Linked DNA regions of Caenorhabditis elegans. The protein of the gene in region 1 interacts with the protein of each later gene in a pairwise test. Each region holds a gene or a part of one and is shown on either strand. Other genes may lie near its edges.

Region 1 (7,654 bases):
GCGAATTTATTCATTTGTAATGACAGTGGGACAAAAGAATTAGAAAGTTGTTTTAAAGTCGAAGGAAGAGAAGGAAATGATTATATCGAATTACTGGCAAGTGATACAAAAGTGAGTTCGAAATGGATGTTTTCGATTTTTAATCAATAACATTAAAACTTCCAAACAGAGATTATTCACAAAACAATTTCCAATTACAGGTCTACATAATATCTCGTCTCTCTGAATCTGGAAAATCTGGATCTCTTGAAATTTCAAAAATCGTTTTCACTGATACAAGTGATCAATCTATTTGTTAAATTATTTGTTCAACTTGTTATTTAATTTCCGAAAATGCCATATTCGAGTTCCTGAATATATCTAGGTACTGTTGACTCAATGATTCACTTTACTGGAATTATTCTGGTTCTCTAGCCATAATTCTGTCTATTATCTGAAAATGTGCAATTGTAAATCTAGATCCATTCTTAATGACCGGTTCCTTCCAGACGTCTCACCTTTTGACTTAATAAATTCGAATTCCACATAGCACATTTTATTCGGTAAAAAACCATTGTTCAAACATTACTCGGGTGGGTGGAAGAAGAGATTATGAGGTACGGGGAGAACGTGAAACAAATCGCAATTCACACAATAATACAAAAAGTTAAAACCATAAATAATAAATAAGGGAGTTCAATAAAGGGGATGAAAACGGGGAGCGATAAAATGATAAAGAGTAGCATGACTCATGAAGACGGGGACAGAGAGACACATACAAACATTGAAAAATCATAATAATTAGAAAGAGTAGCGAATGTATGGAACTTCGACATCTTCACCGTCTGGATCGGACATCATTGGCTCGAGAACCAAAGCGTGAACAGAAGGATGAAGTGATTTCTTCAGCAATTCCTCGTAAACCGCTTTCACTCTGAAAAAAAAACAAATTTTCACATGTTATCATTTGTTACAAAGCAATCTTCTAGTGATTTGTAATTCAACTCACTCTGTTTTGAGTCTTTCTTGTTTTTTGCCAGCATTCATGAAAAACGAGAACAAAAGACACGCTCCAGCGGATAACATCGACACCTCGCATCCACCAGTTTGGTTTTGTACATTGTCGATGAATTCTTGAAGTGTGAGCGGTCCTTGAACGTCAATTCTATCCCAGAGAGTAAACTCTCGGTCCATGTAAGTTTTCTTTGGAGCGCCAATTGGTTCGGCAGAGGAGAAGAATGGCATTGACAGATTTAGGAAAGTGTTCTTGAAACGCTCCATTGGTGTCTTAGGAATACCGTTTGCGTCAACAACCTGAACACGGAAATATGTATATTATAAATTATCACATTAGAATGAATGCCGCTTACCTTGTACAGTTCGATGCAAACAAGACCGGCAACTGCTGCGGTGGTGGTAGCGATGGCTGGAATAATTTTTCCAGCAATTTGTTTGGTTCTCATTCTATCAGCTGGAAGAATATCATAGTTTTCGGCTCGGAGATTCGATGCAGCCGTGATGAACTCCATATGATGGTTAGAATCATCATCCTTCTCAAAATCAACACAGTTCAGTTTGCTTGTAGACTTGACGTTCAGCGTTGCCAATTTCAATTTCAAAGCTTCGATGGCAGCATCATCATCAACGATCATGCTAGAAGCTCCACGTTCATTCTGTTCTTTAGCCTCGGCGTCAGTTACAGCGATCTTGACACCGGATTTAGGCTCGAAAGGTTCCGGATTCACCGAAAGAGCGACACGAATAACTTCTTCTCTGTCCAAAATTGGTTGAACTCCGTATAACTCGGCAATGAGAATTGACGCAGCAAAAACGAAATTGAAGTGTTCTTCTTTGGATGGATCAAAATTGAGAACATGCGGGCAACGCTTAGCTCCTGACCAGAACTTGGCTCCAGAATCAGTGAGTTGATCTGGTGGGAAAGAGTGAAGCATCTGAGCAATATTGTTGTGGTAGAGTTCCTGGAATTGGTTGCGAGCCCAACGAATACAATCTTCAGCAGACGATGGACGAGCATCAATCAAAGCGTCTTTTACTTTTTGAAGAATATCAATTTGTTGTCCAGAAATTAATTTGTCGACATGCTCATTGAACCCTCTTTCATCGGAAAGGAACTTGTTGGCCATTTCTCCTGGCTGGGCGAAGAATGTTTCAAATTGCTCACGCGCCCATTGAATTGTGTGCTGAATTTCATTGGGGAAGTTCTTCAACGTGCAAACAGGAATCTCCTTCTCTGGTGGATCGACAGACGACGAGTATGACTCCGTGAGATATGGATAAACAACTTGAGTGTTTCCTTTGGTTCCCATGGTTCCAGACTCCAGCAAAGGCAAGCGATAGTAGACGCATCGACGATCCATGTATCGCCGAGCATCAACATTATCAAGCGCATTGGCAACTCCATTGAGCTCTCCGAAGAATTCGTCATTGAAAATGTGCTCGGTTTCCAATCCAACACGTTCTGCCAAAGCTTCAATTCGAACATCCGAGTTGAAAGCAGTCACAGCACGGGCGGCACATTCTGACTTCTTTCCCTGAAAACGAGTATTAAGAAGTTAAATTAAATTTTTTCAGGCATACCCCAACGTCACGGCGTCTGAACAGGAATTGTCTGTTGAGATTCGAAATTTCAATTTGGTCCATATCAGTAATTTTGATAAGACCTCCTTCACCACAAGCGACACCCATCATTGATAAATTTTTGAGCAATTCGCATCCGATAGCTCCAGCACCAACAACAAACCATCTTTGACGGAATAGACACTCTTGATATGGCCATCCAAATACGGCAGCTTGTCCATCATAACGAGATTGTCTCGGCTGACAATCAGTTTCCGAAAGTTTGGAATTGTCGAAAGAAGTCCAATCCCCTGGCAAGACTTCAACGTGATCCAAATGAAGCCATTGTTTCAGTGGTGTCATATGGTGTGTGACTCCTTTCATTGCTTCTTGTGCAGCAATACCACCAACAACAGATGACACAGTGACGAGGTTTCCGGATGCAGAAAACGAGAACAATTCGATCAACTTTTCTGGGATTTCTTCAGTACCAGAAGGAATCAATTCTTTTAACAATGCGGCATCCTGAGTGGATCGAGGAGCAGGGGATCTTCCATACTTTTCTTCGAAAGCGTAAAGAGCAGTCCACAAGGCATGAAGCTGGGATGGGTATTCGAACTTGGCATAGTCCCATATTCCGAATTCTGGTTCAACAAGAGATTTCTCGAATGGAACATGAGATACCGATGTTGGGACTTTAACTTGCCTACATCTTCCACCTTCTTTGTAGTCGGAGAATGAAACTGCGAAATCACCAATATTGAATTTCGATGCATTTTTAACGGTGATTTTGAGTGGCTCACATCCATTAATTTCAGTAAGTCCTTTAACTTCAGAAAAAGTAACGTGATCTCCATCCTCAAGACCATGGAAAAGATTCTCCAATGTTGTCACTTCACCAGTGGTTTTATCAATGTGCTCAATGAAGAACTCGCGAACTTGCTCCCCAGTAGCGTCATCAATTCGGAAATTGTCTCCAAAATCGTTGAAGATGTATGAGAATACACCACGAGCATCAGTAATCAGAATACGTCTATTGTGGGCTCGTGTCCATGCAGCGATTTGGCGTTGAGCAGTACGGGCAGCGTCCGTGAGAACAACAAGCTATAAGTTAAAAAATGTTTTTTAACACAAAATTAATTTAAACTTACATCAAATGTTTTGACAAACTCCTCAGTGAGCTCATCAGTTGATACTTGTACATTAACACTGTCATTAAGCTCTGCAAGACGCTCGTAGCAAGAAGTAGCACGATTGTGACCAACATCTGCATCGCGCAAGTAGTATTGAGCCGAGAGATCAGACCATTTTGCAAGCTTTGTGTCATGAATAGTAACATGCCGAACTCCTCCAAGAATCAGATTCTTTGCAATTTCGACTCCTACAGAACCGAGACCAGAAATGAGAACGGAAGCAGTTCGGAGGTTGACCATGGCGGATTCGCCGAGCGTGTAACTGAAATATTCAATTTTGTTTTAGAACAATAGAAAAATCAAACTAACATTTGACGGGAGTAAAGATTTTTGTCGAGAAGCTCATCTGAGTTCCCACCAACTCCTCCGGCATTATTGCTAGTGTCCATCTTCTCACCGTCTTGTCCTTCAGTGTTTTTGGTCGTCTCGACGTTCACGTTTCCAGACTGCTGAAAAATCAGATCATTACATGATATAATTGACATGTTAATATATCTTAGAGCGAAATTTTATATATTTTGAATTGTCATGAAAATCGAGTTTTATGGCAAATACTTTTCAAGTTTTCATAAAACTGGAGTAGAAAAAAGAGTCATTAGTGTAGTTATAATTTGTTTCTAATGCGCGACAGTACAAAATAAGTCATAGTGGAACACAGGGAAATTACAAGAGAAACTACAAAAACTGAATGACTTCGTTGCGAAATTGAAAAGAGCGAGGAAGAATAAAGAGAGAGACGCAGGCAAAGAAACAACTTGACTGTCAAACCGCCCGTTAGTGTCCTTTCGTAATCCGAACCTAACTAGGAAGACGAAGAAAAAAGATTCGTCCGAACTTTCTATAAACGAACACATCGATCAACAAAGCGCGAATCACATTCTAGAACATTATTGATTGCAATCGTTGGCCTAATAACTTGTGAAGTTGGAAAACTCTACGAAACTGATAACGCTTAGGAAAAAAACTGCGTTGAATACAGAAAGTCGACTAACCATTCAATTTTCACAACAAAAAGTGAGCAAGAGCGGGAACGGAAATATGATGACTAACAGAGACGCAGAGAAATAGAGAAAACATGGGATTGACAACAAATAAATAGAACTACGAATGAAAATACACTTTTCAGGGTTTCACTGGCCGAAACTAAAACGTAAATTGTTATTATGTATCGGGACAATTTTACCACCTCAGTTCATCTAATGAAAAAGTCATCAATTTATAACCTCATTCTCTAAAATATTTTACCTGATTACAAAAGTAGACGCCTAAAACATCAATTTCAAACAATTCCAGAATATTCTTAAAACTTACCTTTTTGGGCATATGCCAACCCGGATCATACTTCCTGATATATTCCATATACATAATGAAACAAGGACTAAATTAAAATAGAGAATATACGAGTAAGCATTAAGGATATGTATTTTCTATCCGTCAACAAAATCCCAACTATTATTATTCATTGTCGGCTACGAAGCAGTGTATCAGCGCCAGCTTCTGCGTGGTTGCCACGGCAACTTTCCCTCTAATTTTCTGGGCGAACGAAGATTAAATATAAAAGAAAGCGAACGGAGAATGCGTTTATTCTTGTGATTTGGTAGAAAAATCAGTTCTCATTTTGAATGGGGTTTTCACCTGCTGTTTCGACTAAAAAATCAGAGTGAAATTCGGCGAACACTCATTATCTTTTTGTTGAAATAGCAAAACAACGGAAAGAAACGAGGATTCTTAAATTAATTGAATCTCTGAGAGCTTTCTTTTCAAGCTTCTTATGAATTAAAAATTGTTAATTCAGATTTTTTAAAAATAGTTTTCCATTTCAACTTACATTGACCCCAGAAAGTGTTTGCTGCTTTGGCGCTCCGACGATCGTTCCGTTTCCTACGACTGTTGGTTCTTCTTCGTCGTCAGTCTTGGATCGTTTCGCCGGAGGATATTCGTTTTCTCCTTCACGCTGCAGCTTGTTATTGGTGGCCTTGTTGTTAGTTTTGTTGGCCGATGTTAGCTCAAGGATGGTAGTCATTAATCACGAAAGATCAGAACCACTGAAAATAGTTTTTAATTGATGAAAACTGATGCAGTTCGAATAATGGTGGCTTAAAAGAGAAGAATCTGATGATGAGCTTTCGGCGAGAATTGAGATTGAAAAGCGAATGATTTTTAACCACTGCACGTTTCGAAAAAATGCGAAACAAACTGTTTGTGGAAGATTCTAGAAGGATGAAATTATTGATTTTCATTTGAAAAAAGTGGCGCGCTTGCGAAATGAAGAAAAAGGAACATAAGTGGAAAATGGCGCCAAGTTTCTCATAGAAATATTAGCAGTAAAATAGAGCGCTTTTGCATTTTTCTTCTTTGACATAAAAACATCGCTATCGTCGTCTCGTAGTGTTTGTGTTCCTTTTTTGCGAAAGAAATTTCTCGATATTTCTAATGTATTTTTAAAAGTTCGTTCGTATATGTTTGAAATCAGCATTTTCAAAATTTAAATTGTTTCTTCTGTTTATCGAGTTCGTGCTGACTCTGCTCACTGCTTTTTCCAAAGGAACTTTGAATTTAAAAGATCTGTTTGGATTTGACAAATAATTCACGTATGGTGGTAAACCAAAAAGAAAACATCACATACATAAACAGAGAAGATCCCCAATTCAATTTTTAAAAGTTTTTCGAATAATGAAAAAAACAATATAAAATTAAAGGAATCAAATAATCAAATACGTTGGAACAAAACAAGAGAATGAGGGAGTCAGTATAATTTCAGGGAGCGACAGTGCAATAAATTTAAAGTTTTGAAGATGCTTCACGGCTTCCAGGGCGTACTAGTCATCCTTGCACAAAATGCCACTTATCAACATCTCCTGGTAGTGGAGCATTTGCTCCATGTTCTGGGGTAGCGCCAATGGCAGTTGCGGCCGCTTCATCAGTTCCTTGGTGAACAGCTTCTGGAACCCGAGAGACTCTGAAATTTGAAGTTTAGAATATTAAAAGCGATGAAATCCCTACGTGTTCAAGGATGGGTTTGCTTCCTTGATGAGAGTCTTCCAATATTCGTTGGTCTCATCGATGACTTTCTCCGCGTATTCTCGGTTCTTGAACTCTCCATTAAAAGCGAACTCGTTGGCTGGTTTTCCTGCTGGAATCTTGTAATTGCGGAACCATTCAACAGATGCCTGAAAGAAAAAAAATGAAACGTATTTTGAAAAATGTTTAATCGAAACTTACAGCCAATAGTCCAGGATAAACCTTTTCGACGTCATCAATGTCATTCAACTTGTCAGCATTCTCATCGTTGACATCAATTGCGACCAATTTCCAATCGGTCTCTCCTTCGTCAATGAGAGCCAATGTTCCGAGAACTTTTACTTGCAGAACAGCTCCCCGTCCGGCAACCTTTGATCCAACTTCAATAACATCAATTGGATCATTGTCTCCTTTAGCTCCAGTGTCAGGAACAACATGGTTTGGATCTTCCCATGTCTGTGGAAGAGCTCCGTAGTTCCAGATGTATCCTTTGTGTGGGAAAATGTTGTGAACAAAGCGAGCTACACCCTTCTTCTCATCTTGCTTGATTGGCGAGAATGGTTCCTTGGTGGCCATTTCCATTTTAGCATTTGTCCAACGTGGAATCTCAACAATCATGTTGTAAACTCTCTTGTCCTTGTTGGCGAACAATGGAATATCGTGCCAAGGAGATACGATTCCTTGTGGTCCCTCTGCAAAATAGATATTAGAACCAATAATTATAGCAGCTTCGACTCACTGATATAAACTCTATAATCCAAACTATAAAGAGATCCACGCTCGACGGCTTCGTAAACTGCTGAATCTCCGGCTCCGGTGCTCATTTTCACAGCTTGACTTTGCAAAATGACAGCAGTCTCCGACAAGGGCCTGAAAAATAATAA
Region 2 (5,193 bases), on another chromosome or scaffold:
AAAACAAAATATTTGAGAGGCAGGGAAACTTATAGCTCGATGAATAACACGCATAGAATGAATTCGAGGGGAAAAAGTAAAGAGGTGGATAATTATTGAAAAATACGTGCAAATTGAACCCCTTGGGAAAGAACATCAGTCTACTTTCTGAGGTTAGAAACTGCGAAAAAAGAGCATAGGTCCCACCGAGATTTGAACTCGGGTCGCAGGATTCAGAGTCCTGAGTGCTAACCGCTACACCATGGAACCGCGGTGTACAGCGGCGGCAAATGTTTGTAATGAGAGAGGGTTAACAATCGACAACCGCTGCTTTGCAATGTTTATTTAATTTTTCGTGGGGGACTTTGATTGACTAGGCAAGCAGGCAGGGGCGTAGACACGCTAAAAAGGACGTCACAACTTGGTGTCTGAATTAAAAGCGAAAACGAAAACTATAATTCAAATTTGTTACGAGCTAATTATATGCTCTTACTATTTCCTCACTTGTTTTTAAGACAGAAAAATGCAAAACTAAATTCAAAAATCGTTTATGTACACCACAATTTGAAATACATAATTATAGATATTAGAGAAATTCCAAAAAAATACAGAAAACGAGGTAAAGCTTGACAGAAAAGAGTCAAAGAATTGCAATTCGGGGCTACAATTAAATTTTCCAAAAAAAAAAATTAATTATTAAGTTCAAATTTAGACCAATGGATAACTGGCCTTGGTGGCGACTCCGCAGTGATTGTTGCGGTTACGGGCGATACGGATGTATCCCTTCTCTCCCCATCCAGCTCCCCACGAGTTCTTGACAATCCAGTAGTCTCCGTGCTCTGGGTCGGTTCCGTATCCGACGAGAAGCACTCCGTGGTCGAGCTCTTCGGATGAGCATTCCTCATCGTAGTAGACTCCTGAAAATGGATGATATTCGGTGGAACTTAGGCTGAGTTTATGCTGTAGGCCTAGTTTTAGGCCTAGGCTTAGGCTTTGGTTTAGGCATTTGTTTAAGCTTAGGCTTATGAGCTAGGCTTGGGATTAGACTCAGGCTTAGTCTTGAGCTACGGCTTAGACTCAGGCTTAGGCTTAAGCTTAGGCTCAGGCTTAGGCTTAGGCTTTCGCTTAGGTTTAGGCTTAGTCTTAGGCGTAGGCTTAGGCTTAGGCGTAAGCTTAGGCTTAGGCTTAGGCTTAATCGTAAGCTTAAGCTTAGACTTTGGCCTAGGCTGATGGGGTTATACTTTGCTACTAAACAATTTATAAATTCCTTCACCACTTTCACATTCAAGTTCGAACCCAAACTATTATTGTCAAGAGGGTATCATTCAAAAACACGAGTTCTCTTATCACTATTGCCCTCTCTGTCTCTGATGAAAAACCCGAGTAACTAGCTTTCTTATCATTATCATCCAAAATGCAAATAAAACTGACCCGTCAATAAAAACTAGTACCCCCCCCCCCCTCACATCTTCCCACAAAACATACCCTTCTTGTAAAGTTGGAAGCTGCGGTGTCCGGCGTCGATAGCAATAGAGATTGGTCCTTGGGTGGCGACAGCGATCTTAAGTTGCTCCTCATCTCCTTCTGGGGTGTCAACGTATCCCTTATCATCAGCTCCGACGGTCTTCTTGTTGAAGTGACACTTCATGTCACGTCCCTTGTATGGGTATGACTCCTCGGTGTCGACACCATGGTTGTCACGAATGTACTCGAAAGCTTGATCCATGAGTCCTCCGTTGCATCCGTGGTTTCCGTACTTGGTAGAGCAGTCGACGAGGTTTTGCTCGGAAAGGGAGACGAGTTGTCCCAGCTTGCGAGCGTGTTGTCCTTCGAGGGCTCCGGTGGCGGAGAAGGCCCAGCACGATCCGCACATTCCTTGGTTCTTGACATCAGTGACGAGGTGGGTATCACGCCAGTCAACCTCATCTGGGACCTGAAAATTGAATAGGTTTAGGCTTGAGTTTAAGCTGAGGGTTTGGTTTAGCCGAAAGCTTGGGAAGCTCAAGCTTATGCTAAGGCTTAGGCATAGACCAAACTTCTTCCTGGACTGAGCCAAATCCATCAACTCACAATCAGTTTCAAGCCTAGGCTTAGGCTTAGGCTGAGGCTTAGGCTGAGGCTTAAGCTTAGGCGTACACTTAGACGTAGGCTTAGATTTAGGCTTAGACTGAAGCTCAGGCTTAGGCTTATCCCCTAGAAGTTCATCACAGCTCTAAGCTCTGGTGTTCAAATTTCAGCAAAAACAGTTCTAACCATTTGAATCTTGTTTTTAAACATTTCGGTGACCAAAACATTGCGAAATTCAATTTTCAAGCGTATCAATCATCAGAGATGATAATTCAAAAAATACGGTCAGCGAAGAATTATTTTTATCGGTCGTTGAAAACGTTTTTGTTTATGCAAATAGTTTTATAGTTTTGATCGACGAGAAAGTTAGTGTCTGGACCCCAACAAAACCCCTCTCAAAAAATTACCTGAACATTGAATGGAGCCAAGAAAGAGGAGGAGTTCTTGATTCTGGAGTCACCGAAGAGACGTCTGTAACCGTTGAGTTTGCGGTATTGGCTGAATGGCTGAAAAAAACAAGAGTTTGAAAATCAAATGACCTTCGTGTGTTTTGTCAGTGTGGTGGTGTGATAAGCCAGCTGTTGGTCAGTCACGAGACGAGGATTTCATATCTTTATCTTTTTTTTTCTCGCTGGGTGAGATTTTGATAGTGGAACGAGACAGAGAACAGCTTTTTGAAGTTTTTATAGGGGGTATTTATTTTCTTATCTGTCGAAATTAGGAAATGCAAAAAAGGAAAACTTGAAAATCCTCGCTTTAGGAACTTGGGACTCCGGAGCTCCAAACTTGAGATCCTTGGGCTCAAAAATTGTGATCCCGGAGCTCGTTACTTAAGAACCGGAGCTTGAATTTTGAAACCCCGCAGCTCAAAACTTGGGACCCTGGAGCTAGAGACTTCGGTCCTCGGAGCCAGAATTTGAGTCCCCGGAGCTCAAAACGTCGGACGCCGCAGCTCATGGTGCATTGAAATGCATATTCTTACCAAGTCAGCAATATGATTCAATCCCATCTCGAATGTCTTTCTTCCGAGTCGGTGATCTCTGTTGTGATTCTCAATATGGATCATATTCTTGACAAATGCCTCCATATAGGTCTGCTCCTCGCTCTCCGAGTACTCCTTATCAAAGTCCTCCTTATAGTCGTCCCATTTCTCGATGGCCGACTCGATTTGACGGGACAGCTTGGCCGAATTGACGGCGACGACGGCGGCAACCAGTGCCAGAAGAATGAATCGGTTCATTCTGGAATTTTATAACATTTAAAATTAATTTGAAAATTCTACAAAAAGCAGGGGAAACACGAAAAAATATGGAAATGGAATAGGAACTACAATGAACACCTCCCGAGGCGAGTTTATGAAGGATCCTAAAGTAGGCGGGGACAGCGTCAATCAGTGCCAGGACGAGTGTGAGGAGAGAGATGGAGAGGCGGAGAGAAACAGAGAGCGATCAAACCATCAGGTTATCAGTCAACTGATAATAGAGGGAAATTAGGGGTGAAAGTGCTTGCTCCGGTGCTAGGAGCTCAGAATAGTACAGAAATTGGATGATTATCATAATAGGGTTAAGTCAGATAAGCATGTGATCAGGGATAAGTGTTTCGAAAAACGGAAGTTTTCGAGCGGAAGTTTCCGAACTTCTTGAAGTATTGAACATACAGAAAATTAAGGTTTTTGTAGTTTGTAGTGCCCCCAAAGTTTAGAAAACTACCAGTTTTGCTAGAAATGTTTCCAAAACCGAGAAAATTGTTCGCCTTTTAAAAGTGTCAATTATTGGAGTTTAACCGCAAAATTCCAGCAATTTGTGTCAATTTCTACTGTTTTATTGACGTTAGGAACAGAAACTTCCATCAAATTTTGCTCTTTTTGAAGTATGAACTTTTTTTTCGGTTTTTTTTCCAGAAATTTTCAAAACTTTTCATTACGAAATTCGGTAGTTTTTAACGATTTTGGGCCCCAAAAAGCAATGTCTCAAAATTTTATAAGTGGTCCTTGACTGATGTCGGCTGCTTTTTTAGCAAAGGTCAAACTACAAAGTGAGTCAAGTTTTTTAAAATTAACTTTGAAAAAACAGGGGGAAAAAGGACAGAAAACAAACAAACAATTAGGTCACTTTAACAGGTGGCCAACAATGTAAATAAATTGTTTCGCATTCTAAAGGATTTCCAAACAAAAAACTTAGGAATGAAAAACGAGAAAATAAATGTCATCAGCAAGAAATTACATAATCATCCAGCTATTGATAAGATACCTGGTGAAGACGGTGAGATAATCTACGGGAATAAGGAATGATAATGGGAACCTGTTTTTTTTTTGGAGTGGGGAATGGCAGACTTGAGATGTTCTAAGCAATTTTTTGAAATCGACAATTGTTTAATCTTGGGGAAATAGGGAAAAAAAGAGATTTCGAAATTTGGAAATTTCAAAATCTCAAAAAATGCTGTAACTCGTATGAAGTTTTTTATAACTTTCAGCACGTGAATTTCGAAATTCAGTAATTTAAAAACTCAAAATTCAACTAACTAACAAGAAAAATGTAAGAAAAATTATAATTGGAAGTTCTCACTTTCAGACATTTTTCGATACAAAATTCAAAGTTTCAGCACCTAAAAAATCGTAAAAAAATGAATTTAATTTATTTTCAAATAAAAAAAAATTGAAACTTCAGATATTTTCCCATAAGAAATTCAGATTTTGAGACGTGTTCACATAAAAATTTAAATTTCAGACGGGAAAGGAAAATCGTTACGTATTTTTCAATAGAATTTCATAAGTTCATACAATTCTAAACATGGAAGAAATAAAAATGCCGCCAATTTCAATATGGAAATTCAGATTTTGAAGAATTTTTAATAAGTACCTTTGAAACTTCAGACATTCTTGCACAGGAATCTCTAAAATTTTTGTCATTTTTATATGAAAAGTTTGAAATTTCAGACGTTTTCAGAAAATAAATTTTAATTTTCAGAAATTTAGAACTGAATATTGAAGTTTTTTTCGGGAGAAAAGTGTAAAGTTTCAGTAAATTTTTAGATGCAAATAACTTTTTTTTAATTTGGACATATTTAAATAGAAATACTTAAACTTCCAGTTTTTATTTCGAAGGCAAAAATGAAATTTCTGGCCTCAAGAAAAATTATATCAGTAAC

The links. Proteins that work in one complex are often made in the same cells at the same time.
Region 2: the proteins of uba-1 (region 1) and cpl-1 interact in a two-hybrid assay, tested with the Caenorhabditis elegans proteins (one large-scale study listed by BioGRID).

What each region holds. Positions count from the first base shown.
Region 1 is NC_003282.8:9,989,152-9,996,805, forward strand, and holds uba-1 (E1 ubiquitin-activating enzyme), read right to left. Parts: upstream 5,795-7,654; 5' UTR 5,773-5,794; coding exon 5,578-5,772; intron 4,199-5,577; coding exon 4,059-4,198; intron 4,012-4,058; coding exon 3,708-4,011; intron 3,661-3,707; coding exon 2,578-3,660; intron 2,532-2,577; coding exon 1,350-2,531; intron 1,294-1,349; coding exon 989-1,293; intron 914-988; coding exon 781-913; 3' UTR 522-780; downstream 1-521. Other genes in the region: mam-2 (MAM domain-containing protein), read left to right, coding at 1-111, 201-299; pyp-1 (Inorganic pyrophosphatase 1), read right to left, coding at 6,573-6,708, 6,753-6,919, 6,972-7,462, 7,510-7,640.
Region 2 is NC_003283.11:16,592,060-16,597,252, forward strand, and holds cpl-1 (Cathepsin L-like), read right to left. Parts: upstream 3,288-5,193; 5' UTR 3,287-3,287; coding exon 3,029-3,286; intron 2,553-3,028; coding exon 2,454-2,552; intron 1,913-2,453; coding exon 1,465-1,912; intron 897-1,464; coding exon 688-896; 3' UTR 513-687; downstream 1-512. UniProt on the Caenorhabditis elegans protein: Cysteine protease which plays an essential role in the degradation of proteins in lysosomes.